Linked DNA regions of Arabidopsis thaliana. The protein of the gene in region 1 interacts with the protein of each later gene in a pairwise test. Each region holds a gene or a part of one and is shown in the gene's direction. Other genes may lie near its edges. The genes, in order: AT4G18340, AT2G40260, CYP711A1 and IRX9-L.

Region 1 (7,614 bases):
CTAGACCTGTCAAGCATGTTTAATGATGGTTTGGCCTGATCCATTTGTTAAACAGTAGGTAAAATTTGCAATCTTTTTTTTTTTTTGTTTTTTTTTGATTTTGCAATCTTCTCCCTTATCTACACTGTTCTCTTTAAGAAACCCGCTATAACACTTCCCGAATCATTCATGCGGGAGAATTCAAAGGTACCTTAATATTACCACCTTCAAACCAATTCGCACATGGTCCAAGTTGGAAATGGTTAACCAATTTAGTTACCTATCACTATCAAATTCCCACAGTTGGGTGTGATGCATCATACATTTGCAAATGTCCAACATGGAAATCCGAATCAAGTAAACCCTATATATACTCTATTTTTCATGCGTTAAAAGGGTTAAACCCTTTCTTTGAAGAAACTTAACCTTTGTTCAAAAACATTGATATCGTTGAGTACTTGTGTTGCTTTAAAAAGCTTTCATGTCATTTTATTTGCATATTCGATATTGTAAATAAATTGCAGATTAAATGGCATATTCTTTCAATCCGAGCTAAAACAAAATCATTCTCTTTTTCTGTCTGCTGTTTCAAACTTGCTGGACAATTATATGATCTTTCTGATTTGGACATTAAAATATCCACAGATAACGTAAACTTGAAATATTCTGCAACCAAAAATATGTCCATTCAGTAAATAATTAACAAACTAGATCATATTCATGAAGAACTAAACCAGAATCATTAAATTTAAACATTAGAAATAAATTAAAACTTGTGTCATATACTCGATAATAAATCAAATTATCTTTAACTTTACACATATAGGCCTATATAAAACAATCTGTTCGGCCGTGTATGGTATATAGTTACGTCATTATCAAATTAATCTATATGGAACTGCCATAAGTCGACCGGTGGTCAATCCTAAGCCACGAAATCAAACTTTTAAACGACGAACTAAAAGTTTTCAGCCAACTATAAACAGGCCACTCTGAATAATTGACTGATTTTGACTCCTTTCCACATATTTAATTCCAACATCGAACGATTACATTTTTAATTGCAACAAGTTCAATAGCTTGAGACGGGTATATTTCTTATAAGTTGTATACATGTGTTCAAATAAAATGGCTCTTGGTGTCGTGAAAAAGAGAGAAGATTTAATATTATAGAATCGAAAAGAAGACACTAGGGTATTTTGGATTAGATCAATACAGCCAAAAGTTCCACTTTAAATTAATGTAATTTTCTGGCTAGCCAACCTTTCGAGAAAACGAATTGACTATCGTCTACGTGATCAAGTTTAACCCTTTATATTTTACCATTTAAAAATATAGTAAGTAGAAATTAATTGATTAACAAATCAATAGCCAACCAAGCGAAAGCACTTACTATTTCTTAAATAAGTTTTGTTGGGGTTTATTATGTCAGGTGATTAAAAAACAACCGATGGTTGAAATTGACCGACGGCTCCAAGTGTGTGACACTGCCCCGCCAACTTGTCTAATTCCCCTCGAAAGCATATTAGCAACATTATCCCAATTGACCATTTTATTTTACTTTTGTTATGCTAATGCTTTTAGTTATTTGTCAATTTATACATTATCATATTTGTCTTGTTTTATTTTACAAGTGCCTCAAAATTAAGCATGATCCTTTTGTCTAAAGGAAAGTAAGTATATCCCTTCTCTATCATCTTAATCCGAATAACAATATATTTGAGATTTTTTCTTGACAATTAATGGCAAATTATATTACGACTTATATATCTTTCACGAATACAATTTTGGATATCCCGTTCTTGATAACTTTCGAGGACTTGTATGAATTTCCGTCCAAAAGCCTCGGATTACAAAAAGAAAATAAATATGTGATATATGTTTATTTGTATGTATTATATTTCCCGGGAGATTTGAAAATATTAAACTTTAAAGGAGAAACGGAGGAGGCTTCCTCAGTGTACTATTGAATCCTTTGACACGTCAAGTCAAATCGGATCTCCAATTAGCTTTTGTCTAAAGAAATATAGTAAGGTTTGTTTGTCATATTAATTAGGCTAGGATACACTTGCGGTCAAGATTCATGCGAAAATGTAATCATTATTCTTCGAATTTGAATTAGCATTAAATTAATCATAATTAACACGTGATTAGTAAAATCAATGATTCAGATAAATTAGATAATAATATTAATAGTAGTAAAAGTTAATAAGAAAAATAAAGACCATTTTTGTGGGACTAATAACCCATTATAAAATTTCTTTTGTCATGAAGTTTTAGCTGAAAATTTGATATTTTACCTTTCATGATTATTCTACAAGACATGATTATCTATTAAAATTTCATTGTGTTAATATTAATTTTTATACCACGTCTTTTTCTCCATGATTATCGTAGAATAAACTTTTGGTGTATAGTACAAGTTTGTTTTAAGTCACGACTCACCTACTTAATTGAAACGAATATTTTAATATTTTCCGGTGCTTTATGAAACTTCTTCAATATTCTATACACGTCCACTTATGTGTATCCCAATCTCTTCTTAATTTAATAACATTGCTCACTTTTTTTACCAACCCAACAGTTAACACCACTTGTATAGTACATGTAATTAAACGAAACACACAAACAACGTATTTCCTTCCATACATGTGCATGCAAATTGTCTTGTCATAGAGTCTGCATTAATCTAGCTATATGATAAATAACTACATACAAATATTTTAAAACCTAATAATTTTCTTTAATAAGAAATCCTTCGTTGTGGTTTATAGAAAGCCGTCAGTGGATAAAAAAGGCATAAATGAGAAAAGCAATATAGGGAGGCAAAGCTAAACAATTTAAAAACACTTTTTTTAAAAAACATAAACTTCAACACTAAACCTTTTCACAACAAAAAACACGGAAAAAAAACAAACAAGCGAAGAAAAGTATTCTTCACCTTGGTTGGCTTATTGTGTATGTCTATAAATATTCCATTAAACACTTCTCTTAAAACCCAAAACCTTCACAATCTCTTTCCCTCCCTCTCTCTTCCTCAACATGACATCAAGAACATTCACAAGACATTCCAGTCTCATTCATGTTTTTCTCCTGCTTTCTCTCGTTTTCTCAGGTTATTTTCTTTTTCATTCTGAAATTTTAAAACCAAATTCTTAACACTTAAGTTATGCTTTACGTTGCCGCCTTAAAACCTCAACGTGTAAGATTTTAACATAGTGAAATAACGGATCGATAATAAGTCTAGAATTCATTTTTTCAATGTTTGTTTAATGGAATATTAAAGATTTTTGGCATTGTTTTCTAAAAGTTCGATTCTTTGTTTGGAAATATAGGGAATATACTACAAACAGTAACGTCTCTTGGCATCAATTACGGACAAGTTGGGAACAATTTGCCTTCACCGGATAAAGTCATTAACCTCTTGAGATCTTTAAGGATCACAAAAACAAGAATTTACGACACTAACCCTCAAATCCTTAGTGCCTTTGCAAATTCAAACATCGAGATCATCGTCACCATCGAAAATCAGGTTTTACCATTACTACAAGATCCTCAACAAGCTACCCAATGGGTAGATTCTCACATTAAACCCTATGTTCCGGCCACTAGGATTACCGGAATTATGGTCGGAAACGAGCTTTTCACCGACGACGACTCTAGTTTAATAGGGTAAGTACTAATCGTTGAATATTAGTCTAATTTGTTACATGATCACAGAATTAGTTTTTTTTCATTAACTGATTTCACATTTTCTTGACTACCACTTGGTCAAATGTAACGAACTCCTTCGAAAAAAATATTATATTTATTAAACTCCACTTTGAATTTCAATAAGAAATGAGTGTAATAGTTTTTGTCCAATAATTGCTAATTTTGACTATATTCTCTCCTCTTTTTGGTAATAGATACATGATGCCGGCGATAATCAACATCCACAAAGCCTTGGTCCAATTAGGTTTAGATAGATACATTCAAGTCTCGTCTCCAAGCTCTCTTGCCGTCCTCGGTGAATCTTATCCTCCATCTGCCGGAAGTTTCAAGCCGGAGGTTTCCTCCGTGATGCAACAACTTCTAGATTTCTTGGAAGCCACGAAATCTCCTTTTTGGATAAATGCTTACCCTTACTTTGCCTACAAAGATAACCCACAAGAAATCCCAGTCGATTACGTTCTATTCAACCGTAACATCGGCATGACCGATCCCAACACAAGACTACACTACGACAACATGATGTATGCTCAAGTTGACGCAGTTGCTTTCGCGGCTGCGAAACTAGGGTACCGTAACATAGAAGTTAGGGTTGCGGAAACAGGGTGGCCTTCAAAAGGAGATGTCGGAGAGATTGGAGCGTCTCCTGTGAATGCTGCCACGTATAACCGGAATCTTATGATGAGGCAATTCGCCGGAGAAGGAACTCCAGCGAGACGGAATGCAAGACTCGATGTTTATATATTTGCGTTGTTCAATGAAGATATGAAACCAGGTCCTACTTCGGAGAAAAACTACGGTATATTCCAACCAGATGGATCATTAGCTTACAATTTGGGATTCTCTACAATGTCGACAACGACGGCAAATTCAGAATCTGTCACTTATTCATCCTCTGCCACTAAGGTACGATTAGTATTATGTGGTGAATTTTGTTAGAATTTGGAATTATTGGGGCCACGACGAGAATAAGTTTGTGAAAGGACTAGATGTGCAAAATGAATTAATTCTCTGTTTTCTTCTTCTTTCAGGCAAAGAGGAGCTTGGAGTATTGGACAATTTTGATATTGGCGATGGTTCAAGTTGTAATGTTGAGACTATTTTAGAGGAAAAGTTATTGACAATATAATAACGCGATTGTTTAGGATATTTATGTAAACAATTTAATTATAAGCTTGATAAATATAATTTATATTCAATTCAACATTCAAATGAAGTCGGTCAATAGTGAAAATTCTAAATTTATTGTTGTCGTTAACAAGTAATTGACATATATAATAAAGAAACAAAGTTTACTTTTTAAGAAAAACTTGTCGTATATGAAAAGGTTTGAGTAAGTAGTAACTTTGACCAAAAGGCATATAATCGATAACCAGTAGCGGTTTAGAATCAACCATATATTTTTTTCCCTCTAATTCAAGAAATATGGCATAGCTTAATTCATTTGTATATGTTGTTGGATATTTTAAATACAATCCCTAGCTAGTTATATAATATAGATATTAGAATGCAAACATATGCATTGGAGTGGACGGTACGAAGAATTGGAACTGAAGCTAAGAAAAAAAAGCCATGAAACAAGAGCTTATGCTCACGATGCAAATTCACATGCTCATTTCCAATTATATCGGCTCAATATACTCCCTTGTTCTTGCCACAAACGATGCGTTTTGACCTTGAAAACATAGACACATATGCTTTTTTCTCTCCATATATTATTTTACCGATCAGTCAAGTTTAGTTTTATAGAATAAAATAATTCAGCTGCACGTAAGGAAAAATAAGTACTTTCTGAAAAATCAAAGGACACGAACAATCAAACATTAGTATGCAAATTATTTTCATACACTTGACCGTCAAAAATGCACTGATCAATGCACCGGTCATTCCGAACAAAAAAGAAAAAAAAATCTTTAAAAGATGAAAAATACAAAAGTGCGACGAGAGGAACAAAATCGTTTCACGTACGACGTATCGGCAACGATATCTAGGGTTGTGTAGAAAGATCGCAAAAGAGAGTAGTAGCGGAATTAGGGTTCTGGTTATGGCATGGAGATGAACCGGAAGGAGGTACGAATCCTTTGGGAAGCATAACCGAGAAAGTATCCTGTCGAACCGGACGGTTTAAACCGTTATTCTTCTTGGCCATCATCTTGAAGTAGCCAGCACGATGATGAAGACCACGGCGATGACGAAGAGTATGTCGATAGTAGTAGTAGTATTGGTGATTGTAACGACGACGACGGTGGTTGTCTCGTTGCAACCGCTGGTTCAAGATAAACGGTGTCGTTTTCTTGATGTAGACGAGTTGGTGCGGTGATTCGTAACCGTTGAGATAAGCTTCCGTTTTTTGTGTTGATGATACTCTTGTTTCTTGATTCGAAGATGATGATGATGGTGAGATGAGGAAGACGAGAGTGAGAATAAGAGAGACGATGAAGCTTTTTAGAAGACTCTGTTTCATCAAAACCAAATCTTCCATTGGGATTGAAAGAGAGTATAGGGTTTTGGCTGAGAGTAAGAGAGAGCGTAAAGATGAAACAAAAGCTCAGAACGAGGAGGGAATTAGAATTATATAATTCCTAATTAGTGATAAGTAATATCATTAATGAAATTATGAATTTGTTTTTTAAATTTTCGTCAATGTTGTGTTAAATATGAATATAGTTTTATATTGTAGTCGAAAGAAAGTGATTAAACATACAAAGGCACATGTTAATTATTTTTGAATGCAAACAATATAAAAAACTCATCACTACTTCATTAGAAAGGAGGAGGAGGAACATCGATGGTGGTTCCAGCCATAATCTGACCCTTACCAATTAGACGCCAATGCCTATCGACACGTCGGCTTAAAGCAACCTTCTCTCCTATGGTGGTACACACCGGAGACGTCAGTTGGAGTTTCACCATATCTTTCTTGACTCCAATAACCTTAGCTCCCGTAGACATAGACCCGATGTTCACCATCAATATCTCTTCTTTGGTTAGCTTTGACACTTTCATTTGCTTCTCTTTTTCCTTTGTCCTCACTCCAATGAGACGAGTCAGAAGCTGGTAACTTACTTCAAGCTCAACAAAGACGTCAGGGAGAGTACCCATTTCACCAAGGACTTGACCAACCAACCTATCAGCACGCGTAAGCGTAGGGTCCATGGTTGTTCCAACTCCGATTAGACCTCCCGGTACAGCAAACTGAAGCTCGTTCTGTTCCGCGTATAGTGAAGTTATACGCGAGTAAATTGGAGTGCATTTTGAGTTTCCATGCTCATCTTTGCCAGTGATACCAGGTCTAATTTCAATCAGTTGGTTCACTTTCAAAACACCCAAACAAAGAGAGACACATATTAATACTAAATTGTTTCACAGTCAGGTAAGAACAGAGGAGAAACAGAGAGATAAAAACATACCTGGAGGATACTTCCACCAGCAACACCACCTTTCATTTCATGACCCGCCGAGCCAGGTTTATTGACATCGAAAGAACGAATCACAATCATCTTTGGTGGTGACACAAAGTCTCTCACAGGGATTGGAATCTTCTTGACAATGTATTCACTCACAACATCAATGTTGTATTTCAGTTGTGCTGAGACAGGAACTATAGGTGCATCCTCAGCATTCGTGTTCTGCAACATTATATATGTGACAGAAAATATGAGAACCAAACTGATGAAGTCATGAAAGATTTAACAACAGAGAGATAAGAAAATTGATCAAACCGTTATAAATTTCTGAATAGCCTCGTGCTGTTCAGTGGCGGCTTTCTCATTAATGAGATCAATCTTGTTCTGAAGGATTATGATATGCTTAAGGCGCATCATATCAACAGAAGCAAGATGTTCAGCGGTTTGTGGTTGTGGACAACTCTCGTTAGCAGCAATTAGAAGTAAAGCACCATCCACGATTGCTGCTCCATTGAGC
Region 2 (7,995 bases), on another chromosome or scaffold:
GAATGCGGTTAAGAATTGCAATGGGATTAGCATATTGCCTTGACCATATGCACCAACTCAATCCACCTATAGCTCACACCAATCTCGTCTCATCATCTCTTCAGCTCACAGAGGATTATGCTGTCAAAGTATCAGATTTCAGTTTCGGTTCATCTGAGACAGAGACTAACATCAACAACAACACAGTCATAGACACACACATCTCAGCCTTGAATCCAGAAGACAACATTTACAGCTTTGGTTTACTGTTATTCGAAATGATAACCGGGAAACTCATAGAATCCGTTAACAAACCTGACTCAGTAGATAGCTCGCTGGTTGATTTCTTAAGAGGAGAGACTCTAGCCAAAATGGTAGATCCAACACTGGAATCTTATGATGCCAAGATTGAGAATATAGGTGAAGTGATCAAATCATGCCTTAGGACTGACCCGAAAGAGAGACCTACAATGCAAGAAGTCACAGGATGGTTACGGGAGATCACGGGATTGTCACCGAACGATGCTACACCGAAATTGTCACCTCTTTGGTGGGCAGAGTTGGAGGTTTTGTCCACGGCGTAAGAGAGACCCCTTCACTAATAAAACTGTATATATTTTGAAGATGTGAGTTTTGTAAGTGTCTGTTTTATTTATCTCTCGTAATATTGGTAAAGCAAAATTGAAGTTCTCTTCAAGTTTAGTAAATTTACAAACATGTATATGATAAATTAGTGTGCATATCGGAAAAAAGTTCTTGTGAAAATTATATCCGTTTTCTTCTATATGAATGCATTCTTTTGTTCAAAGTTATTTTGTAGCAAAATGATAAGAGGAGAAATTGCAAAATACTTTTAAGAATATAAGTGTGCATAAATATTTTCATGGTTTGAAGAGATATTTTATTCTTGAATAACTTGGCAAATAGTTCCTCGGGACTCATGTCTTCTTCGTCGGAGAAATAAAGGTCTTTGACAGGTGAAGGTGGAGCTTCTTCCATCTACCGCTTACGGAGAGGAGGTTCGTCTTCGTGAAACCACAAGTTCGCTTCATCCGACATCACATCATACATATTCCTGTGATTTCGCTGAATAGTCTAGTCGTCTTCTACTTCCAAGAGAAAACGGAAACCTAATAAGTGATGGGTTTGTAATACTTTTGTTGCACGGAAACCCCTTTACTTTATTTTTAATGTAAAAAGACCTCTACTCTTTTTAATCCTCAACAATCAATCAATAATGATTTTAACACTAATTAACATCTTCTATAGATAATTTGGGAAGAGTAGAGTCCAATTGGCCTAATTGGGTGATGGATTTTGTTGTAGAGAAGATCGTTAATAACTAAAAAAATATCGATTTAGAAGGACATTTTACTTATGAAAAAAAAAAAAACAGAAGGAAGAAAAACTAAAATTTAGAGTTTTAGGTGATGTTTGCAGTTTTGCTCCAAAAAAAAATAAAATGATGTGTGTAGAGATTTTGATTAAGAACAATAATAACGTTTTAAATTTCAGTCAAAAACATTATTCCACAGTCATTGTTTGATTGAATACATTTTGTTTGTGTCATCACTGAATTCCCCAAAGTAAAAAATAACTAATTTTCAAGCATCACATATGAAACGAAATTCCTAATTTTTAATTCGACAAGCAACCTACATTCCACGAAGTTGCCCTGGTCCAAACTTTATTCGTTTTTATTATAAAAAAATTGCGAGCACGACTTTTGTCCTCATGGTAATATAATAATGTCAGACCAAAAAACGATATAAAAGTGACTACGAATAATATAATATGCAATTGTGGTTTCAATACCTAAACTATTGGGCCATACTGATTGATTACTTAGCTGCAGTGACTATGCATGCAACCCCATGCATAATACGTACAAATCTCATTATTATTATATTCCTCTCGGTTCACCCCTAATTTATTCTTTCCGATTAATATATTTACGTTCACATATGGTTGCACATTATTTGAAGTACAATTATATAATATATTACTTGAATTTTCTTCGGTCTAGTGTACACTGCGTATATAGTTTCTACAATCTCAGATCTTCAGTTCAAACCCTATATTATAAAAAAGTTATAGCCTTATAGGTACCGAAATTTTAAAAGTTGAGAGACATAAAACACGAAGACTTTGGTCCACGCTTAGAATTTGATTGGTTCATTTCATATATGTGTCAAGGAAAATGAATTAGCATAGTGTCGTGGTCAATTTCAACGGATTATATAACTTAGTAAATCAATACCGTAGTTAATATACCCTTTTTTTGTCAATACCGTGATTGATATTAATACTTAGCATTTGGTATCTGTTGGGTCGTATAATTGATCATGGGTTGTCTGAGCATGGAAGTAGGATTATAGGGTAGATATGAAGAACGTCATTCTAACGTAAATTATTATTGCTACACTTTTAAAACCAAAATATACGACAGCTTTAATTCTTCCTACCAATTAATAACGACGACGAAAATATACGATTACGGCTGGACATTGGGCTTCCAAAAACGATTTTGAAAAAAAAAAAAAAAACAGAAAGAAATGTCATATACCTAATTTATTTGACCGATGACTTTCACATTATCTGGTCACCATTCACAAAATTTGACACAGTACTTGCATGTCGCTTACAAGAAAAATTAGCCTGCTGATGTTAGAGGAATACAGATAGATACAATTCTGCCTTGACCCTCTCCTGGAGGCGCAAAGTTCATGACAATAAGTAAATCATATATTATACATTTTAATTTTCTCCTTTCTAAGTTCTTAAAAAAGTATGACATCCCCTACTTTGCCTACTTCCTTAATTTCACAAAAATAAAAGTATGACATACTTAATTAGAACATATCTTTTGTTTAGTATTTTACTAGTAATTTTAATAGTACGTACGCTATATAGAACGAACTAATCACCCCTGAACTGAATTCCAAACTAAATCAATTGGTTGCATGTGTGTACGTACAGAAACTCATATAATTCTCAAGTTCAATTCTGTGATAATCATGTGACTTATTAGCTTCAGTTGTTATATTCTGTATCCTAATTTATTTATTTATTTTTTAACATTTATTTGGGTTATATATAGAAAAAGAGATGTACTATTTGCATGTATATAGAGAGAGGCGCATGTGTAGATAATTATAGATAATATGAAATCGTAAGAGTAGTGGAGATGGAGACAAACCCGTGATTGTCGTTGGTGACAGAAACAAGTAGTAATATTTTCTTCTCGTGTCTTTCAGTGAAGACAGCCCAGCCAAGCACCTTTTAACTTCTGTCTGATTCCTCTCTCTATGCTCTTTCTCTGTCTATCTATCTAATTATGCTTTTGGGTTTCTTCTTTTTCTGGTTTCACAGCTTTGGCTTTGAAGTCACGAGCCCATCCCCCTAACCATCCCCTTTTATGCTTTGCTTTTCTAGTCAATTTAATTCATGAGTTGTAACGATGGAAGAAGTTTCATTTATCTAATTAATGTGTATGCCTCATTAATGTTGCCTTCTTCCTATATTGCTAAAAGCTAGTTCGAATGAAACAAAAACACGTACCAAATCCAATGAAAAACATAGATCTTCAGTTGGTTTTGAAAGAAAGAACAAAAAAAATTGTTAATGTACATGTCATATTGAACCCTGATTTATGTCATAAAATTGGTATACGTACGGGTTGATATCATGAAAACGTTTGATCTTTTACCATGAAAATGATCATTATTTAGATAAATTCAATCTACTCCTTGGAATTTCTTTTCACTCCCTATCACAACGAGATTCAAAGATTAATTGTACTAATTGACTTAATAGTTATTAACTCATTTTAAAATACATCTTATGACTGAAGTTACTAATGTTTAATGAAATTAAAAGTACCATTTTTGTCATGAGGTGTAATTCTAGATCTATCTTTCCCTAAGATGTATATAACTGTAGAAAAAACCATTGGTGTAATAAAAAGCTATATATTAAATAGAATTTAGAATATCCGTTGCCATCATATACATATTTCAACATATATGTTGAGTTGGAGAGAGAGGGGGAGAAAAAGGAATGATGGATACAAGCATCCAAAAAGTCATACACATAGACCATCAAAAGTCTTCACCTTAAATTCCTAACACATATGTATGAGTGTGTGATCTTTGTTTGATCTTTGTCCAGAGAACTCCAAGATAGACCAAAAAGGTTCAACCTCAAAACAAACAACACAAAAACAGCCAAATAGCTAGAGACCAAGATGAGATCAAGCAGCCAAAATTCTGAAAACTCCAAGACTTGTCTATCTAACAACATCAAAGCAACCACCAAGAATGAAGAAGATAAAGATGAAGAGGATGATGAAGAAGGCGAAGAGGATGAAGAAGAGAGATCTGGAGATCAGAGCCCATCTAGCAATAGCTATGAGGAAGAGAGTGGGAGTCACCACCATGATCAGAACAAGAAGAATGGAGGATCCGTGAGGCCGTACAACCGCTCAAAGACTCCGAGGCTGCGATGGACGCCGGAGCTCCATATTTGCTTTCTTCAAGCTGTGGAGAGATTGGGTGGCCCAGATAGTTGAGTTTCAATTATATATATGAATCAATATCAAGATCATTGCATATGTGAAGATCTCTAAATTTCTAGGGTTTTCTTGTTGATATTTATTTGGGGTCTCTTTCAATGATTTTGTTGAAACAGGAGCAACACCGAAGCTTGTTCTCCAATTGATGAACGTCAAGGGGCTAAGTATTGCCCATGTTAAGAGTCATCTTCAGGTTTTGCAAATATCCACATACACATAGAGTATATATCTATATACATCATTGAGATCTTCATCTGAAATCATACTTCATTTTTTTTTCTTCTTAGATGTACAGAAGCAAGAAGACCGATGAGCCTAATGAAGGTAGTTTACTTAGCTTTCTTCTACCTTCTGATTTAAGTTAGGGCTTCTATAAATCTTATAATTGAATTCGACGAGAAATTGACTAATTCTTGTCTCTCGTGTTTTATCTTTTCTTATAACTACAGGAGATCAAGGATTTTCGTTTGAACACGGAGCTGGTTACACTTACAACCTTAGCCAACTTCCAATGCTACAAAGTTTTGATCAAAGGCCTTCTTCTAGTTTAGGGTATTTACAAACTCTTCAGCTAGCTATCTTTAAACTATAAGTTAAAATTACGTGTGTGTAACTTGGAATGTATTCAATAGATATGGTGGTGGTTCGTGGACTGACCACAGACGACAGATCTACCGTAGCCCTTGGAGAGGATTAACGACACGAGAAAATACAAGAACAAGACAAACAATGTTTAGCTCACAGCCTGGTGAGAGATATCACGGAGTTAGCAATAGTATTCTTAACGATAAGAACAAAACTATTTCATTTCGAATCAATTCTCATGAAGGGGTTCATGATAACAATGGAGTAGCTGGAGCTGTTCCAAGAATTCATAGAAGTTTTCTTGAAGGTATGAAAACGTTTAACAAATCATGGGGACAGAGCCTCTCTTCCAATCTTAAGTCCTCCACCGCAACAATACCACAAGATCATATTGCTACAACGCTAAATTCTTATCAATGGGAGAATGCTGGAGTGGCAGAAGGATCAGAGAATGTTTTGAAGAGGAAGAGGTTATTATTTTCTGATGACTGCAATAAGTCAGACCAAGATTTGGATCTAAGCTTGTCCCTTAAGGTACCTCGGACACACGACAATCTTGGAGAATGCTTGTTAGAAGATGAAGTAAAAGAACATGATGATCATCAAGATATCAAGAGTTTGTCTCTTTCGTTATCATCTTCAGGTTCATCAAAACTCGACCGAACCATTAGGAAAGAAGATCAAACTGATCACAAAAAGAGAAAGATTTCGGTCTTGGCAAGTCCCCTTGATCTCACTCTGTGAATATGTATAACAACTTATATACGTATATTCTAAGTGAGATCTTGTGGTACTTGTTGATGGAAGACGGTTCTGTATTGTTGTTTATCATTCGTTGCATACTTGTGACAAGACCCATAATTAAGGAAATAATAGAGACATTTTTTAATGTTTTTTATTAAAAAAAAATTCACATAATTTTGTCGAGATCGTTAAATGCATATTTTAAAATATATATGATTTGTGATCGAGTTGGGAGCAGAAATTTGTTTTCTTCTAAATAGTATAGTAACCAAGAAATACATTAGTGAGAGTCTATATATATGGTTTTGAGAGTTACAAGACATTGCACGTTGTCTATAAGCTTGTCTAGACGTTGCAATGTATATGTAGTTTACTCTCACATAACAAGTATCCTAAGCAATATTTTTGTTTTAACATGGAGATATTGTCTGAAAATTTATACGTTAACGTCAAATCAGTGAATACAAGAAAAGAAGATGAAGACTTCCGAGTCATAGCTTTCTGAGCTATAGCATTATTATTTTTATAAAGACGAGTTTTTGCCTTCTTCAAAATCGTTTTATAAATTATTCTATGTTTTAGATTTGTAGTTGAAATTATATGAAAGGTCCGTTAATTTAAAAATCAGGTCTGCTGAATGTTTTGTTTGTATTAAAAAAACAAAAAAAAAAAAACAAATCGGTTCTGATAACCAACCAAAGTTTATTTTAATTTAGTTGCGAGGTTAATTAAGAAAAAAAGAAGACACTTTCTTTAAGAGAAAATTGGAGAGAACGACAAGAAGACAGATGTACTTGACATAGAGATATGTCTTGATCTCCTCGATAGACAACAAGCTAGTATCTGTTATTCGCATATAATCGTTTCTTATCATCTTGGGCCTTGAATAAGATTTGGCTATATGTATTATATATTTGGGAATTTTTTCATATTTCCAGAGAATCAAAACTATGGAAAGTTTTTGTTGTTTTATGTCTACTCACATGTGCCTTTGTTGTATCATTCCATATTGTTAAGTCAAAGATATTTGTAACGTGAGACATCAGTTTTCTTTCTATGCTTATATTTGAGATAGTGGAATTCTAACAAAAATATTTAAATATGATTATGATAACTAAGCAATTTCATAATTAAAATCTCATGGGAAGAAATATACAAATTAGTGAATTACATACACTTTTTAGTTGGGAGAAATGTTATACTGTTGGTCTGTCGGATGATCTTGGTTATTTGATTTTCGTTTTTACATTCCCACCACACGAAAAATGAAGCGAAGTTCAACTAAACTACAAGGATGTTAATAACAAGTAGCAACAACACAAATACTTACCCACAAGGTTTGTATTTTTTGATCTGATGTCACTCAAAGTCTATTTTTTTCTTTATTACAATCCTATCTAGGAAAGTAACTGGATATGTAATGTCAGTTGCAAACATTAGAAATTATGATAAATTTAATAACAATTAAGCCACCAATACTCTTAAAGAAAAATTTGCAAATAAAAGACCAAGTACCAGAACTTTATTGGTTTAAAAATAAAAAGTCTTGTAAATAAAAATAATAAATTAGAGGAGAGGAAACAATTTTTGTAAGGCGAAACTAGCGATGACAGAATAAGCCGTCTGTGAAGGATGCACAGAATCAAAGAATAAATACTTGGAAACATCGTCACAAGTCCGAGACAATGGTTGGCATAGAGGTCCTGCCTCAAGTAGCCCTGTCCCACAACATCCTCTCAATGTTTCCTCTAGTCCTGCATACATTACTCTTCAAATTAGAAACTATGCCACAATTAACAAAATTTGTATATGGAAAAACTTTAAAACAAAAAAAAAAAAGAAAAAAAAACTTAAATCAATTAGTTACCGTATTTACGAGGATGTTTGATCATGTCTATTAACGGAGAGTAGATATCAAGGTAAAGAACTTTGGAACCTCGAAACCTCTGACTGAGACCGAAGATTAGCTTCTGTAGCTTTTGATTGTAAACCCGAGAATCATCGTTCTGATGTTCCGTACAGATCCGATGATGGAAGATGCGAGGAGTATTGATGCTAGTAAGTGTTACTTGCACCGGAAGGCATCCGATTGGTGGTAGTCCAGCTATTGTAAT
Region 3 (8,262 bases), on another chromosome or scaffold:
CAGATTTAAGATAATTAATCGTTTTTAGAGGAACGGAGGAAAGAACATGTGAAAACAACTATGAGAAGAAAACTCAGTACTATCGATGATACTACCATCACCAAGCTTGAACATCTTAACAGCTTCATCATTCATTCCATCATTACAATATTCTCCATCATTATCATCGAAGTAGATATAATTCTTCAAAAGTCCATGGTACTCGGAACTCTCATCATCATGCTTGATAAATTGATCAGCTTCTGCGCCACTCTGATACGTTCATGAGAAGTTGGCACGTGTGAGAACTGAAGTGAGAGATTGGAGTCACGTGTGAAGAAGATTATAAATAGTAAGAGAGAGTAGAGAGAAAAGCATCCTGCGTGATCATTGATGTGTAAAGAGGATTAGAGCTTTATGTGCTCTGTTCTTGGGAGATAAGATTGGAGAACTGTAACTCCAAGCTTATCGATTTAGGGTTTGTTTCATTGTAATTGGGATTTTAAGGATAAGAAAGAGAAATTCATAGTTTCATTCTTATCACACTCTTTCGCACATTATCAACGAAGTAGATAGAATTGTTCAAACATCCATGGTACTCGGAGGCTACAACAGTAAAACAACTGTCCCTAGCCACAATGAGTGCCTTGTCTCCCAAGGACCTAACCTCAACCCATTTTGCCACATACTCGTCCATCTTATAAACCTTAAAACCAACTGTCCTTTGACTCCTTCGGATATAAGCTTTCTTTAAGCGAAGTTGATGAATAATGCATAGATCTCCACAATACTCAACGAGTCTCTTGTTGCAACTATCATATCCGTCGTAGTCCATTGGAATTGAAGGTGTGAATTGAAGGAGGCTGAGCGGTGATAAACTAATCCACCAAATTGCGCCGGTTAGGTCTAAGGCATAGACTTGTCCTTTATGAAGTATAATGTCCAAGAAATCTTCAACTTGGTTTTTGATTTTTGTCCATATTCTACTACTCTCTTCTCCACTCTTGCAGCACCAGATTTTGTCATCCTGTCCGACTGCGAAAATCAGATTGTCTAGGAAAACAACTCTAGACAATATATGTGATGGTCCTTCTTTACCTATCACGCCTTGTATTAAATACTTATCAAATATATGAATCTCGTAAGATTGGCGAATCTCTGAAACCTCAAATTTCAAAAGGTCTAGGGTTTGTTGTGAAGGGGTTAGGAGCTGGCGAAAGAAAGGAGACAAGAGATTAATCTTACTGGATTCAGAGACTTGTTTGGTTCTGATCAGCCATCCTTTGTAAGAACATGAAGAAGGGCCAGTTACACGGAAGAAAGTGGTGGGAGAGAGAACAGTCTCTATCATCTTGTTGGAGGAAGGAAGGTTGCATTGAAAGCTCTTCGGTGTCGCAGCCGCCGAACGCCAGGGTTTACAGATGCTACGTACACGGAGGACGTCACTAATGGAGGAGAAACGGTTTGCGGTTAAATTGATGAGGTCTCCAGGTAATTCAGACCACTCAGGTTTTTCCATCTTTGAATCAATCGACGATGTGAGAGCGTGATCAACATCGGCTCGCCCTCTCTGTTATAACTCCATATATATACACAACAAAACTTAAACCCTAGATACTTGAGGACTTACGTGGGCTGGACTAGAATCCATCCAATTCCTAGTTGGATTTTCGATTAGCTATTATCACGTGAGTAATATCTGCATTACATGTATTGACTTAGTATTATTGTTGGAGCAATGTTTTTTTTTTGTTAAAAATTATTATTGGAGCAATGTTTTGTTTTTGTTAAAAATTATTTGAGCAAACCAAAAAATCGCAGAATGAATTATAAAACAGTTCGTATTTCGATGAAATTTCGTCTCTCCCTCTCAATAGCTTTGGTGCAAATTAATACCCTTACTACATACATGTCAACTTAACTCTAATTCTAACAAATAGAACAGAAAATCTGGAGAGAGAAAAAAAACGTAACTAGATGAAAGAAAAGAAAAAAAAAAAGACTTCAAAATTTGTATAAAAATATAGAAATGTTGAACAAAAATTATTAACTCTAAACCAAAAATTAAGACAATGATCTAATATTCTAATATCATGAATCATGATAGAAAAGGAACACCTAACTCCATAAATGATGGTCATGCAATGATCAAATTTCTCCTTTATCAATTATTGGTTTATATTCCAATGTCCAAACTCGAAAGTCGAAACAATCTCCTCCATATATAGCCATTTCTTTCCCTAACCCATTAAAATACAAAACTAAAGAACCATCAATAATTTTTTCAACTGAAAAAGGAAGAACAATTTGTGATCCAAAATAAAAGAGAGAAAAAAAAAAGTGGAGAAAGGAGACCAAAAGTAGAAGCGTGGTTTACTCCAATTGACGGTAAACCCCTTTGACAAGTAGAGGCACTTGATAGTAGTGTAACAAAAGTACAACGATGGGTGAAGATTGGTCAAACATCAAAAGGACCCCATACTCAAAAGATAGTATTCTGTTTATTTATAATCATATATTTACAAAAAACTAACATTCAGAATATAAAAATATTAGAATATGTAAATTTTGCAAACATAGAGGAGTATTAAATATAGTTAAATAGTTTCGAATTAAACACTAAATAATTAAATGTTGACAAGAAAAAAAAACATAAAAATTAATACGGATTCCGTGCGTTACAATAACTTAGCAATATTACTCTCTAGTAGAGATGAGAACTTGAGTACTTGACTAATAATTTCAACGCATGTTGTCTTCTTGCGAAATAGTCCCACGCTATTCTAAAGGTGGGCTAGTGGAAAGAGTGTAGAACCCACTTTTCAAAAGCACATCAACTACTATATAAATTAATGAACCACCTAACAAACAAACCCACACATTAAACTAAAGAAGAGAGAACTTTAGAGGTTAGAGAGATGAAGACGCAACATCAATGGTGGGAAGTTCTTGATCCATTCTTGACACAACACGAAGCTCTTATTGCATTCTTGACTTTTGCAGCGGTTGTAATTGTGATTTACTTGTACCGACCCTCCTGGTCCGTATGCAATGTTCCCGGTCCAACCGCTATGCCTCTAGTTGGTCACTTGCCCTTGATGGCTAAGTATGGTCCTGATGTCTTCTCCGTTCTTGCTAAGCAATATGGCCCTATTTTCAGGTACCTCTCCTCTCTCTCTCTCTTTATTCTGTTTTCGGTGGCTAGAGACCTAGAGTTTAGTTTTTAAGTTTTCGTGTCGACAAAAAAAAACAGTTTTAGTTAATTTGTTCGGTTTAATGTAATTTTTGGTTTATTTGATTTGATTTTCTGTTTAGACTTTAGAGTCAGTTTGATTTTTAAAATAAGGAAAACAACTTCATGTAAATAGTGCTTTAATTAATATACAAGTACTTTTTAACATATATAATTAAAAAATATAACTTTTTAATGAATTTCTGTTTATTTATAACTTCAGTTTCATTTTTAGTCATTTGATAATAATGAAACCAATTTAACCAAAAGAGATAAATAATTAAGAAAACCTAATGGAAAAAAACATTTATAATTTAATGTAGTTTTTGTATTATTTCATTTGATTTTCAGTTTATTTTAATTTAAATGATTTATAAACACATTATGTTTAATTTTGTTTAATCATTTTGGTTTAGTTTGGTATATATGGCCATCTCTTATGGTTGTTATGACTGAGTGATGAACACAACAAGTGTCTAAAAAACAAAATGAAGACAAGTGATCATGTCCATTTAAATTAACAACAAACAGATTTCAGATGGGGAGGCAACCACTGATAATAATAGCAGAAGCAGAGCTTTGCAGAGAAGTTGGGATAAAGAAGTTCAAAGATCTTCCAAACAGAAGCATTCCTTCCCCAATCTCAGCTTCTCCTCTTCACAAGAAAGGCCTCTTCTTCACCAGGTACAATGGTACATACATGCTCTATAAAACTATGTATGTTTTTGTTTCTATAACCATTTATGATTCTTTGACAGGGACAAGAGATGGTCTAAAATGAGAAACACCATCCTATCTCTCTATCAGCCTTCACATTTAACAAGTCTTATCCCTACAATGCATAGTTTCATCACTTCTGCTACTCATAATCTTGATTCTAAACCGCGAGATATCGTTTTCTCCAACCTCTTCCTCAAACTTACCACTGATATCATCGGACAAGCGGCTTTTGGAGTCGACTTCGGTCTTTCCGGGAAGAAACCAATCAAAGATGTGGAGGTGACTGATTTCATAAACCAGCATGTCTACTCTACAACACAACTCAAGATGGATTTATCAGGATCACTCTCTATCATCTTAGGCTTACTGATTCCGATTCTTCAAGAGCCGTTTAGGCAGGTGTTGAAGAGGATACCGGGAACAATGGACTGGAGAGTCGAGAAGACTAATGCAAGACTGAGTGGACAACTTAATGAGATTGTGTCAAAGCGAGCCAAGGAGGCTGAGACTGACTCAAAAGACTTCTTGTCATTGATTTTGAAAGCTCGAGAGTCCGATCCTTTCGCCAAAAACATCTTCACATCGGATTATATTAGTGCTGTGACTTATGAGCATCTTCTTGCTGGCTCTGCAACCACTGCTTTCACACTATCCTCTGTTCTTTACTTAGTCTCTGGTCATCTTGATGTTGAGAAACGTCTGCTTCAAGAAATTGACGGGTTTGGGAACCGTGATCTGATCCCGACTGCTCATGACTTACAACACAAGTTTCCATACCTCGATCAGGTGCTTCATTAGTAACAAACAAAAACCGAGAAGTTGAGTTTCTGTGAGAGATTAGAATCTTTATGAATGTTTTTTATTTGCCTCCTTTGTAGGTCATTAAAGAGGCTATGAGATTCTACATGGTTTCTCCTTTGGTTGCAAGGGAAACTGCTAAAGAAGTGGAGATAGGAGGTTATTTACTCCCAAAGGTATATTCAAACCCATCAAGCGGATTAGTCCATTTACAGTCAGCACTTGTAATCTATTACTTACCTTGTGGTTGTTGCTTAGGGGACATGGGTTTGGTTAGCACTAGGAGTTCTAGCAAAGGACCCTAAAAACTTTCCAGAACCGGAGAAGTTCAAGCCGGAAAGATTTGATCCGAACGGAGAAGAGGAGAAACATAGACATCCATACGCTTTCATCCCATTCGGTATCGGTCCACGAGCCTGTGTTGGACAGAGATTTGCCCTGCAAGAGATCAAACTCACATTACTGCATCTCTACCGTAATTACATTTTCAGACATTCCCTAGAAATGGAGATACCACTGCAGCTTGATTATGGTATAATTCTCAGCTTCAAGAACGGGGTTAAGCTCAGAACCATCAAAAGATTCTGATTCTTGAAACAAGTGAAATAAAAGCAAGACTGAAATTTATATTTAAATTCAAAACTCCAATGTAGTTCCAAAGGAAAAAGAACAATTAACAACATACACAGATATCTCACAACACACAAGACAACAACAAGCTGTTGAAACTCCAATCTAACAAGGTCACATTTAACCTCTCGGCTTCTCGAATCGAGTAGGAACACCGAGTGGTTTGGAGAAACTAACAAAAGGATCTGAGGAAGGACTAGTCTTCAATTCCCCTGTAAACATTCCAGAGTTCTTCATAAACTGAAACTCATCCATAGATTGCCTGAGACCGCGGTTAGTTCTTCGCTTAGCCTTTGTCGATTCAGTCAAGCTCATGTAACTTGGCTTGTGCTTTTTTGCTTGACTGCTAGAGTTATCTGAAACAAGTCCAGTTTTTCCAGAAACAGGCGTAGTTGAAGTACAAATCGAGGATGAACCTGAGCTCTCGTTAAACTCATAACCAGGACTTGAAGACAGCATATGAGGAGGAGGTTTTGCAGATACTCTAGTGGTCACATTGTTTCTTCTAACTTGAACAACATCCGCAGTTTCCGGTGATTTCAAATGTTTATGAGGCAGAGGAGGAGGCGTGGCAGCGGTATCAACAGTGTCCATAAGTCTAGTCTCCCATGGCCTAGCAGCCATCCAACGCTCCAACCAACTCCATCCCCAACTATTCTTATCAAACTCTTGACTTTTAAGATACGAAATCGAACTATTCGTCTTAAGGTTTGAGCTAGTAGTTGACCTCCATTGCTACACAAAACAAGATTCCCGATTCAGCTTCAGACACGAACTTAAACAAGATGTTGAATGTGGACAAGTTAGTTACCTTTTGAGCAAGAGCATAAGCCAAAGCACGTTCCCTCTTAAAAGCACCTTCTTGTCTCTGCTGCAACTTTGACTTAATATCATCCACAGTACCTTTCCTATCACACCACCCTTCCTGAGAACATAACAAATCTCAAAACAATAAACAATCATCAAACCAATGAGCTAAAAAGGTAAAGACAAGAACCTCGACTTCTTTCAAGAGATCAGATTTGGTTCTATGTTCATCTAAAAGCTTTTGAACAGCTTGTCCTTCAACAGTCATCCTCACACGACGAGCTCTAACACGAGCTTGTACTCTCACCAAAGCTTGCATGCATCTCAATGTAACAGCTGCTTGTTTCCTAACTTGTCTTCCTCTCACTAAAGCTTGTAACCTCACTATCCCTTTCAATGCCCTCAACGCTCTTCTCGCCTAATTAACAACAAATCCTCAAATTAAACTAAGTTCTATTCCTCTCAATTCTAATCAAAACCAATTAGCAAACTCACCAAGAATCCACGAAAAGCGGTTTGGATTCTAATAGCAGCCCATTCTTCTCTAACAGCTTTGAAATCTTTAGGAGGAGCTCTAAGAACAGTAGCAACAGCAGCAGAGTAAACAGTAGAAGAATCAACACCGTCTGAATCAGACCGATGTTTTCCTCGAAAACCCTTCCATGAATCTACTGAAGTAGTCCTCCATAGCTTCCATTTCTTGTTTTTCCCATTACCCTTTTCCTGAAAACAGAGTATCTCTCGATAAAGCTTTAACCTTTGAACGAGAGAACAAAAAAAAAAGATAATGAACTTACGATTTCATCCTTCTCTAGCTTCTTGAGACCGATAATGGACTTGACCCATTTCCCTGAAGCACCCATAGATTAAAAAGTTTCGATCTTTTTGGCTCGAATTCGTAGATTATTTTTTTCTTCAGGTATGTAGAAAGTTTGAGAGTGAGAGATTGATAGAGAGAGAGAGAATATCGGAGAATGTGAAGTTGTGGTGGTAATGGAGGGAGTGGTGGGTTAAAGAGAAGTTTTTGAAATTTGAACAAATCAAAGCAAAGCAACAAACAAAATATTAATAAAAAGTTTGCTCGAGTCTTTAGGCTTTTGTCTCTGATTGTGTTTTCACACTTATTTATTACTTACACAAACAAATGTGTCTGTGTCCTTCTCAGAGTTACAGGCATGAAAAAAGAAACCATGAAAAGGTACAATAAATTAATAAATATATATATATATGTATGTTAGGCTTTTTGTTGTTTTTTACTTTTTACAGTGACTCACTCATGTTCATGTAATACCTTGTTTTGTTTTATTATTCTTATATCATTGGATTCGAAATTTAAACTTCCCAAAATGTTGCAAATCAGATTTACGAAATACATTCTCTTTCGAAAAGCAATGTTTAGCTTTTGGATTTTGTGATTTGGACTGGTTAGACCTATCACTTGTCTAATAACCTCTATAACAGAACTTATTATCTTATATAATTATGACAAGGTTTTCTTTCTAAGACCATACACATTGGTCTTATGACTCAACAGTCAACACCCTATTTAACTCTCCACAAAACAGCGTTATAGCAATTTAAACTTTACAACTCTATTGCAAATTATAATAAATTATGCTCTCATAAAAAAACTAAATTCACGAGTGATTGATACAAAAAAACAACAACTGAAACGACAAAAGAACAACCTAAATTCACGAGTTAAAGAATCGAAAAAAATGCCCATGTATCTCCCAAATTTAGTTTTCAATATATATACTATTTTTTCTCGCTCATATTTAGTTTGAGTGAATCTTGTACATGAATCTATTTGTCTAGCAACTTTAAGATTAATTAGACATAATAAAAAAAAAAGATTAATCAGACAGAGAAAAAAGATGAACTCTGTAAAGATTGGGTCCTTAGCTATACAATGAAAATGAGATATATACAATTAATTCTAATTGATGATAACTTCTTAAAATAATAAAACAAAAATTACATGAAAACATGTACCACCGAAAACATGCACCATCACACTTGGGATTGAGTCCCGCTCGATACAAATGTAGGGATTTGGCTAATGGGCCGGACAATTGTGGCCCAATGTTGAAAAA
Region 4 (8,733 bases), on another chromosome or scaffold:
TGTTATCCTTCATTATAGTATTTCTTAATCTGTAATTTGTTTGTTATCCTTCATATATATAACCCTCATAATTATTTAGTTTGAAGTTGGTTTTTGTAATAAAAAATGTGTGTAAGAAAATTAAGCGGATATTTTTAACAATCGGAAAACCGACATTAAACAATTTTCTTTTTTTGTTGATAGTAAGAAAAAGGGTGGGATATAAAATAGAAGTTTATGTATTTTCTTTCACTTCCTCGCTCGTCTCTCTCTCTCTATCTATCTGAAACCATCACGATCTTCATCTCTAAAGTAACGATCTTCTATTTTCTTTTGTAAACGAATATGATCCTCTCGACTCTCTACGCTTTGATTTTTTTTCCTTTCTCTGTTAGGTTTTTCTCTCCTTGTAAAATCATCTATCATGACTGGAGGAGAGTATGCAAAAGTAAACATAACTTGCAATGACTCAGTTGTTAAAATCCTTGATCCTTGTTCTATGGCTGAAGTATCCACAAAAGTTTCAGAAATTCTTAAGAAATCATCCGATCCCGAAGTCGTTTGTACTCTGGATGTCTCTAGTGAAATCATGAGGAAGATTGTAAACATTGAAGGAAACTAATGAACACCTTTATAAATATTCATATAAGAGTTCTGTTTCCCACACCAGAAAGACAGCTTATAACACATGCTTGTTGGAGCTTCTTCTTTCAAAGCAACTATCAACCAGAAGAAGATTCCTACAAACCCTTCTCCACTAAGGATGAGAAGTGGATCCGCGAGGAATTCAACAAAAAAGAAGAAGATCCTAAGAAGCTCTTCGAGCTTTTCAAGGTATGTGCTTATATGATTATCATTTATAGGACTTTCTTAGGTTTTGGATTACATTTTTTTGCTTTCTGCTATATTATCGGGTTATTGCTCAAATTTTATGGATTTGTACACCTATGTGGTGTGTAGGCTTCAGAGTACCTTGGATTTGTACATCCAAGTCGTTTGATCAGAAGGATGGAGACGAAGAACAGTATATTCATCACATTTATTTATAATCCTTCATTAATGACGGGTTCATGGACGAACTACCTACGAAGCCCTCCAATGAAAGGCTTATGCTACTTTGGGTTTTTGTTTTGCAAGTCTTTACAATTTTCATAGCCATCTTTTTTCCTTTGTAGCTCACTTTAGAAGAACTTTAGAATCGTGTATCGTTTATCTGATACCGTTTGCTTCACAACATACGTTGAGTCGATAAATTGATTGTTTTTATTTTATGTTTTTATCTGTTTTTTGCCATGAGATCAAATCAATAGATTTAACATCTTGTAAACCTAAACATTTTTATTTTAATAAATAATTAAAAATCACTACATAAATTTTTAATATTTTGACACAAAAACTTATGTAAATCTATTTTTGAAACTAGATATCTGCTTGTACCGTTAAAAATAGATTTAACAAAACAACTGAGAAATTTTTTTGACTAAGCTTTCAAACATACAATACTAAATCTAATTCTACTTGAAAAAAAAAGAAAAAGAAAAAAAACACCACAGCAAAAAAAATTAATCGCTTAATCAAATATTACGTCGCCAAGCTTGATATTATAGAAAACTGGTATTAAAATAACCCAAACTTTCGAAAAAGGACTGTAAATTACACATGTTTTAAAATTTTGTCTAATATTTTTGCACCGTTAAAAACCAAAACGGAATATAATATCTTTTTGTACCATATGTGTTGCAATGATGTAAGAAATGCATGCTAAATTTAATAGTAAATCTAGTTGACATATGAGTTATATCTATTTTTATTACCGCTAAAATAAATAAAATTTTCAATGTAATTAGAACTTAGAACTCATTCAAGTATAGTGGATAATAGGTAAGTAGAGGCCATTACTTTATATGATGATAAAACTTAGAATTACTTATTAATCATGTTTTCTTTTTTTGGCAGCGTTTACAATTACAACTAAATCCAATTTATGTTTTAATTATTGTTTTTACCATAGTAGACCATTTCCTCGAAACTTAAACGTAATCATTATTTTGCCAGAGTGTACGAGCCATAATCTCGCCACGTGTCCCACGAACTCGCATAGCTTAAAGATTTTTTTTTAACAAACAAACAAACAGTGCTTTTTCCGCAACTTTCTCCGCCAGCTCAATTTCAGATCTCGGCGGCGACGGATCCATTCCAATCGTGTTTCAGATCGGTGACTTTGAGTTAGAACCAACCACCTTACTCAATCCGACTTCAGATTGAAATTGCTATATCCTACGCGGATTCTCCTGCAAACTTGGTGCGGATCTCTGCGAAAATTGCTGTTTTGGATGTTTGATTTGGGAGCTGTGAAAAATAGGACGGTGGAGTGAGATTATCTGATGGCGTCAATCCGGCGAACTCTCTCGCCGATGTATCACGATCGTTCTCACGAGAATGGAGGTTCACACAAAGGTTTCACCATTGGTGGTAGTAGCAGCAAACACAATTCTTCGCAATTTCTTTCGTATCTCACCAAGCTCCTCGGAGTAACGTCTGATCCTAAAAGCTCGCGTAGAGGTCCATGGAGGCGACCGTTTTACCAGTTTCTCGTCTTCTTTCTTCTTGGATTTGTATTAGGTTTGACACCTTTCGGAAAAATGGAAGATGTAAACGGTTCCGATCGATTCTCCTTCGAGATCAAACAGCCCTACGTTGAAGAACGGTTGGAAAATAGGAAACGGGAAGAAGCAGCTGTAGATGCGGTGAGTTTCGTGGCGGAGACTGAAAATGGGAAGAAGGAGGTCAATTTTGTGCCGAAGAAGCTTCTAATTGTGGTCACACCAACGTATAATAGAGCGATGCAGGCGTATTACTTGAACAGGGTTGCTCAAACGCTGAGACTAGTTGAGTCGCCTGTGCTGTGGATAGTGGTGGAGGGTAACGTGGCGTCGTTTGAAACCTCAGAGATTCTGAGGAAGACGGGAGTGATGTACAGGCACTTGGTTTGCAAGAGGAACATGACGAGTATCAAGGATAGAGGAGTGCATCAGAGAAACACTGCATTGGAACATATTGAGTTGCATAAGCTTGATGGAATTGTCTACTTTGCTGATGATGACAATATCTACTCGCTTGAGCTCTTTCAAAGCTTGAGACAAATCAGGTGACTCAAAAAGACTGCTCATTACTTTTGCTGTCTCTAATTGATGGTAATTTTGTGTGAAATAGACTTATTAGAGAGACTGCGGTTTATGTTTGAGTTTGTTAGTTGAGCAACTCTATCGTCTGCGCTTATTTTATTGGCATCTTTTTGGCTTTATTGCGTGCAGTCTTTGTGATTCTAGTGTTGTTGAACACCGAATATACGCCTATTACTTTGATGTTGAAAGTAATGAGAATTTGAAGTTTTCTGCACAGAATCTGAGTTTTTTTTTGTCTGCCTGCCTCTATTCTTACTTTTCTGCTTGCTCTGCCATGTGCTCAGTCTTGTTTGTTTGAGACTTGAGAGAATACTTCATTTTTCGTTATTGGAAAGGACTCTGTTAAACATTCTTTTTGTACCTTGTCTTGGTTAATCTAAGCATCCATTGAGTGTAAATGCTGATGGCTTGATTTCCAAAGCTTTTCTTCTTCTAAAGTATTTGTCCCCAATTTTAATTTGCTATACTTATCTGTTACATTGTGTAGCCGATTTGGGACTTGGCCTGTTGCTATGCTCGCACAAAGCAAAAACAAGGCCATCCTTGAAGGTCCAGTATGCAATGGAAGTCAAGTAATAGGATGGCACACTAATGAAAAGAGTAAAAGACTAAGGAGGTTCCATGTTGATATGTCGGGATTTGCTTTTAACAGCACTATACTCTGGGACCCTAAAAGGTGGCGACGTCCCTTTTCACATCCAACCCGCCAACTAGACACAGTGAAGGAGGGTTTCCAGGTATGAGTTTGAGTTTTTCCCATATCTTTGGATTTCTCTGGTGTGCAGTCAACCCTTTTCTTATACATGACATCGTGTGTTTCCAAGCAGGAGACATCATTTATAGAGCAGGTGGTGGCTGATGAAAGCGAGATGGAAGGTGTTCCACCAGCTTGCTCGAGTATACTGAACTGGCATCTTCACTTGGATGCCCTGGATGTCCCTTATCCACAAGGGTGGGCGATCCAAAAGAATCTGCAGGCTCTCATAACTATGAAATAGTTTGAAGATAGTTTTGACTGGTAAGATTTATAAGGTTCCGAACTTTTAATGTGAACTCAAGACCGTGAAAAGTCAGTGTTTGTTTGGATTTGGAAAGGGTGAAGCTAGCTAGTTGATCCTTAATCAAAATTCGGATTCTCTACCTATTGATGGTGCTATGCGTGTTTGTTTGCAGAAGAATCATCTGACTTCTCCCTCCTATATGTCTTGCAGGTTTCTACTTACCCCATGTGCTGTGCTCATTACTGGATATATATCAAAGAAGCATATGAAGAATGGAAGAAGACGAGCGAGGGTAGTTTAGGATAGTGATGAGGCACGCATTTTGGATAAACGTTGCTGGAATCGTGAGCCTCCCCTGAATGCAAGAGTTGCTTGGAATTAAATTGAAGGCCTTGGTGTTTTAGTATGAGATGGAATTATATTACCTTCGGACATTGATGATTCCACAGCATTGTATTCGCCTATGGCTAACCAAATTCTTCTTGTTCCTTTTTTTTTTTTTGCAATGAAGAAAAAAATTCACCGCCTATATAATCAAAGTCTAGTCTATACTAGAGTCTAGAGCTTAAATCATCACTTCCTAAGAAGAGAAGAAATAGAAAGAAACAACCGCATGTTAAAAACCATACTTAATACAGAACACAAATGGTGATGCTATAGCAAACAATTAGATAGGGTGTAAAAGTAAACGAAAGATTTTACATTTTCCAGGAAAAAGGTATCGTTGAATATAAGATTTTACATTTTCCAGGAAAAAGATATAATACTACAGGACCTAAAGGGTGTCTCAAATTGGGATGGGCTCGAAACCGTATAAACTCAATGGCAATTGATATTTGGTCTTGATATTATTATCCTCAACTCTTATCTTCTCTTTTTATAGGAACAACGTTGATGCGATTGTACATCCATTACATGTGAACCCCTTCTCACGGCCAAGGTGAAATTTTCATAATATACACAAAAAGGGCAACAAATAAGAAATTATCAATGACCACACACGCTGGGCTACCATACTGGTCATGCTACTAATCCCAAAGACATGTAGTTAGTAGTCAGATTTACGCGTGGTAGCCAGTCTCCCACCATTGACACAGGATCTAATCATCTGTGCTTTGTCTCCTCCAATAACTTCAACTTGGCGATATTCTTCCAGAGAGAGTCACGTTAAGGCCGCCCCATGAATAGACGAAGTTGCATCTGAAGGGTGCATTTGTGAACGTGAATCTTGCCCATTGTCAAGCCCAAGAACTGAAAGAGCTGAACTGTTAAAACATGCATCACCATTCAGTATCTGACATGTGGTACTTAAAATACAGGATAACAGAGTGTCTGTTTGATTTAGAAGACCTACTTTGGTAGAGAAGATCTGATAGTTGGCTGATTCGCATAAGCAGTGAGGGAAGGTCTTAGATCAGGAAACTTCTTCATGATACTTTCAAGTTGAGGCACTGGTAACTGCAAAACAACACCAAAGAGTTATTTGGATTTTTGGGTAATACACTAAACTCGTATATTCTTCCACAACGTTTTCTTGTACCTCCAATAAAACAGGGAAAGAATGCGGCTTTGTCTGAGACACACATTTTAAGAAGCCAGGCCACAATTTTGGCAGCCTCCAGATCTGCATCCAAAAGACACGGCAAGACATTCAGTCATAACCACACAAAATAGAAAATAAGTCTCAATGCTGATCCTTGTGTTTGATCTTTAAATTACTCACCTGCTTCCTCACCAACTTGGAAAGAATTTCCATTACAAAATCAACCTGGACAAAAAATCAGAAAGTTCTTTTACTTCTGACCAAACGAATCCAGAGTTCGATCTATAGACTTAAACCATATACTGTCACTTCTCAACTAAACAATCTTATAATATAGCTTAGACTAAAACTATACTAATTGCACTTTACTTTGACATTTTCTTTATAATTAAGGGTTTGTGAGACCCATCCAAGCTAGAGAGAGCTTTGGGTTAGGCCAAGGGAAGAATGCAGTTCTTTTGGGTTATTTCAAATTCTATTTCTGTTACTTTGGTTCTTTTGTAATAAAAAAGCTTTTAGGTAAATATGTCACGGAGGTCTTTAAACTTATAGTAGGACACTTACTAGTGTTGGAAAAGCATCGATTGCCTGGATAACCGTTCGCATGAAGAGTAAAGGCAGAGGAGTTCGATCAACCTGAAACCAAAAAGTATCACAGATCTCAATATCTAACTAAATAGGAAGTTCTTTTCCATGATATTTGACATACCATCTGACCGAGGGCCTTTGCTAAGACTTGCTGCGTGAAAACAGTGCGTTGTTCAAAGCAAGCTGAGCATGCATCTGTTATCTGAAAACAAAAAACAAAAAAAAACACAGTCAAATGTGACTCTGCTATCAATAGAGACTAGATAGAACAGCTAGCATAGTGGCAGAATTTCATAAAGGGTCGTCCATGGGTAAAACAGATTAATCTTGTCGATAGCAACTCTGACAATCTAATTAGCCAGTTGCTGATTGCCCCTAGTTTTCTACCTTCCTAAAGCGAGTGACATGAGATGAATCATTAATATTCGCGTAAATAGCTTGCCTGGAAGTTACTGGGAAATACCTATTTTACTAGTGAGGAAATAGCAGAAAATAAAAAGGGCATTTGATATGACATAGCAGCAATGCTTCACGCTACCAAAATTCTGTAATAGACGTACACACCTAAACCAACGTATTATTTGAATCCCCAACACTCCCAACCCACCATTTCCACCCTAATTTCTGGATGACCTCGTCTCTGTTGAATTTACGATTTATGATAACTGCCTCTACGTAAGTTATGATAACGTGGCCATATGCAACTGATGATGAAGTTTTATAAGTTCCTTATGCACACTTGCCAAAAGCCACAGAACTTAAGCAGAGCTGATGCATCGAAAAGAGATAGGGATAGTAAAGAAAGCATGCCAATAGGAAAATATACACAGCAGTGTAGGTCTAGTATCACGACTGATTTTGAGCAAATGAGTGCAGAAAACAAGTCCCTTCAGAAGTACTTTCAAACCAGATAGAAAAGTTGGAAATACCTTTTTAAGTGGTGGCCCATCCTTCTCAGGAACAATATCGTGGATAGCAATCAGTACCTCGGCAGGTGTAAGTGCAGGGCCTGTGTGAGCAGAACCCTATCACAGATATAACACAAAAGATCGGAATAGTTCAGAAAAACTACAGGTGTGTAAAATATACTCATGAAATGAACTGTTGTTCCTGTTTTGTAACTGGACAAACCAATCTCTCATTTCATCAGATATTAAAATATCAAGGCAATCCTCTATGCATAGCATGATCAGTGAGTAGCAATTAAAGGATGGATTGGAGAATATGCATATACCTGTAATATATGAGCAAGTGCAAGTTGAAACTTTTCAGGCGGAAGATTAAGAAGGGGAGGAAAGATGGGCAAAACCTGTTACATTGAAAAATAATGTCCGTCATAAAATAAGGAATTTCCACAATTGATAGGCAATAACAAAACATCATCTTTCGCATCCACCAGCAAAGGACCAAAATTTTTATCAGAAGCCTTCCATGATTACTAGTTCTTATTTATTTCCACATTTCAGATAGGTAAAATAACGAGGGAACAAGATATATAATAAAAATAACAAGCCTCTTCATCTTTCTTCAGGGTAAACGTACAGCGAAAGAGCAGAAGCTATGGAAAGAAAGTAAAAACTAACCTCGTCTTTAGTGAGTGAAGAAAGCAATGGAATAAGAATTGAAACATCCTGCAAAACAAATTTTCTGTAAGGCTTTCTGAACTTTATTTTCATAATTATTTACACACAAGAAAAAGATACGAGCGAGCTCTTCATAACAAATCAAACCTTTAGCTTTGTTTCATATAGATGTTTTACAGTAGCAATCAAATCCAAAGAAGGTGCCAATTCTTGTGTCAATATTTGCAACACCTTCACAAGTAACAGACCGTTATTCAAAATTAGAATCTACTTTTGAGGCTAACGTGGATTTACTACAAGGAAACACAGAAGTCACTTACATATGTCAATAAATTTTCACTTCCCTTAGGAGGGTCGGATATTATTTGGAGTAGTTCCGTATAAGATGAACCTAATTCTCGTATTAGGATAGGTATATGTCGATGAAAAGCCTGAACCATTTCAGTAAGTCACCAAAATGAATTAATTTGAAGTTTGTGAATATCATTTACTCCCATTAAAACTGTGAGAACACACGTGATGCATATAAGAAATGCCATACATCGCCCCAACACAATAAAAATCTGATAATCAAAAGTAATATCCTATCCAAAAATAATTCTGTACCATGCCACATGTGATGCACATAAGTGACACGAGGGTTTATTAGGAATAGACTAACTCACCTGGTTTACCATTTTTGGAGCTCTCCCATAAACTTCAAAGACAAGTCGAAGGAGACTAGGTTTCTGAAAAAAGAGATTCATCAGATCTAGGGGAATCTTTAAATAGAAAATAACTTTGAGCATAAGGAGCATCTCCAAAGACTACGCAGACCTTTTTACACAAAGCAAAGAACAGAGAAATCAGTCTCT

The links.
Region 2: the proteins of AT4G18340 (region 1) and AT2G40260 interact in a two-hybrid assay, tested with the Arabidopsis thaliana proteins (one large-scale study listed by BioGRID).
Region 3: the proteins of AT4G18340 (region 1) and CYP711A1 interact in a two-hybrid assay, tested with the Arabidopsis thaliana proteins (one large-scale study listed by BioGRID).
Region 4: the proteins of AT4G18340 (region 1) and IRX9-L interact in a two-hybrid assay, tested with the Arabidopsis thaliana proteins (one large-scale study listed by BioGRID).

Annotation. Positions count from the first base shown.
Region 1 is NC_003075.7:10,127,427-10,135,040, reverse strand, and holds AT4G18340 (Glycosyl hydrolase superfamily protein), read left to right. Parts: upstream 1-2,848; 5' UTR 2,849-3,021; coding exon 3,022-3,094; intron 3,095-3,314; coding exon 3,315-3,651; intron 3,652-3,887; coding exon 3,888-4,596; coding exon of another isoform or gene 4,597-4,629; exon of another isoform or gene 4,630-4,721; coding exon 4,722-4,796; 3' UTR 4,797-4,991; downstream 4,992-7,614. Other genes in the region: AT4G18335 (uncharacterized protein), read right to left, coding at 5,678-6,172; AT4G18330 (Translation elongation factor EF1A/initiation factor IF2gamma family protein), read right to left, coding at 6,454-7,017, 7,101-7,319, 7,413-7,614.
Region 2 is NC_003071.7:16,814,704-16,822,698, reverse strand, and holds AT2G40260 (Homeodomain-like superfamily protein), read left to right. Parts: upstream 1-3,968; 5' UTR 3,969-4,225; coding exon 4,226-4,544; exon of another isoform or gene 4,545-4,668; coding exon 4,669-4,745; intron 4,746-4,839; coding exon 4,840-4,876; intron 4,877-5,001; coding exon 5,002-5,104; intron 5,105-5,184; coding exon 5,185-5,881; 3' UTR 5,882-6,169; downstream 6,170-7,995. Other genes in the region: AT2G40270 (Protein kinase family protein), read left to right, coding at 1-563; AT2G40250 (SGNH hydrolase-type esterase superfamily protein), read right to left, coding at 7,448-7,635, 7,749-7,995.
Region 3 is NC_003071.7:11,137,954-11,146,215, forward strand, and holds CYP711A1 (cytochrome P450, family 711, subfamily A, polypeptide 1), read left to right. Parts: upstream 1-2,855; 5' UTR 2,856-2,897; coding exon 2,898-3,139; intron 3,140-3,627; exon of another isoform or gene 3,628-3,742; coding exon 3,743-3,895; intron 3,896-3,969; coding exon 3,970-4,717; intron 4,718-4,809; coding exon 4,810-4,905; intron 4,906-4,987; coding exon 4,988-5,317; 3' UTR 5,318-5,407; downstream 5,408-8,262. Other genes in the region: AT2G26160 (F-box SKIP23-like protein (DUF295)), read right to left, coding at 503-1,498; IQD6 (IQ-domain 6), read right to left, coding at 5,480-6,094, 6,171-6,284, 6,357-6,584, 6,662-6,889, 6,964-7,029.
Region 4 is NC_003070.9:9,599,512-9,608,244, reverse strand, and holds IRX9-L (Nucleotide-diphospho-sugar transferases superfamily protein), read left to right. Parts: upstream 1-2,143; 5' UTR 2,144-2,363; coding exon 2,364-3,127; intron 3,128-3,651; coding exon 3,652-3,901; intron 3,902-3,991; coding exon 3,992-4,162; 3' UTR 4,163-4,182; intron 4,183-4,375; 3' UTR 4,376-4,568; exon of another isoform or gene 4,569-4,694; intron 4,695-5,048; 3' UTR 5,049-5,067; downstream 5,068-8,733. Other genes in the region: AT1G27610 (uncharacterized protein), read left to right, coding at 601-813, 940-1,134; AT1G27595 (symplekin), read right to left, coding at 5,328-5,430, 5,520-5,623, 5,706-5,789, 5,889-5,933, 6,273-6,344, 6,418-6,498, 7,226-7,321, 7,531-7,605 and 5 more.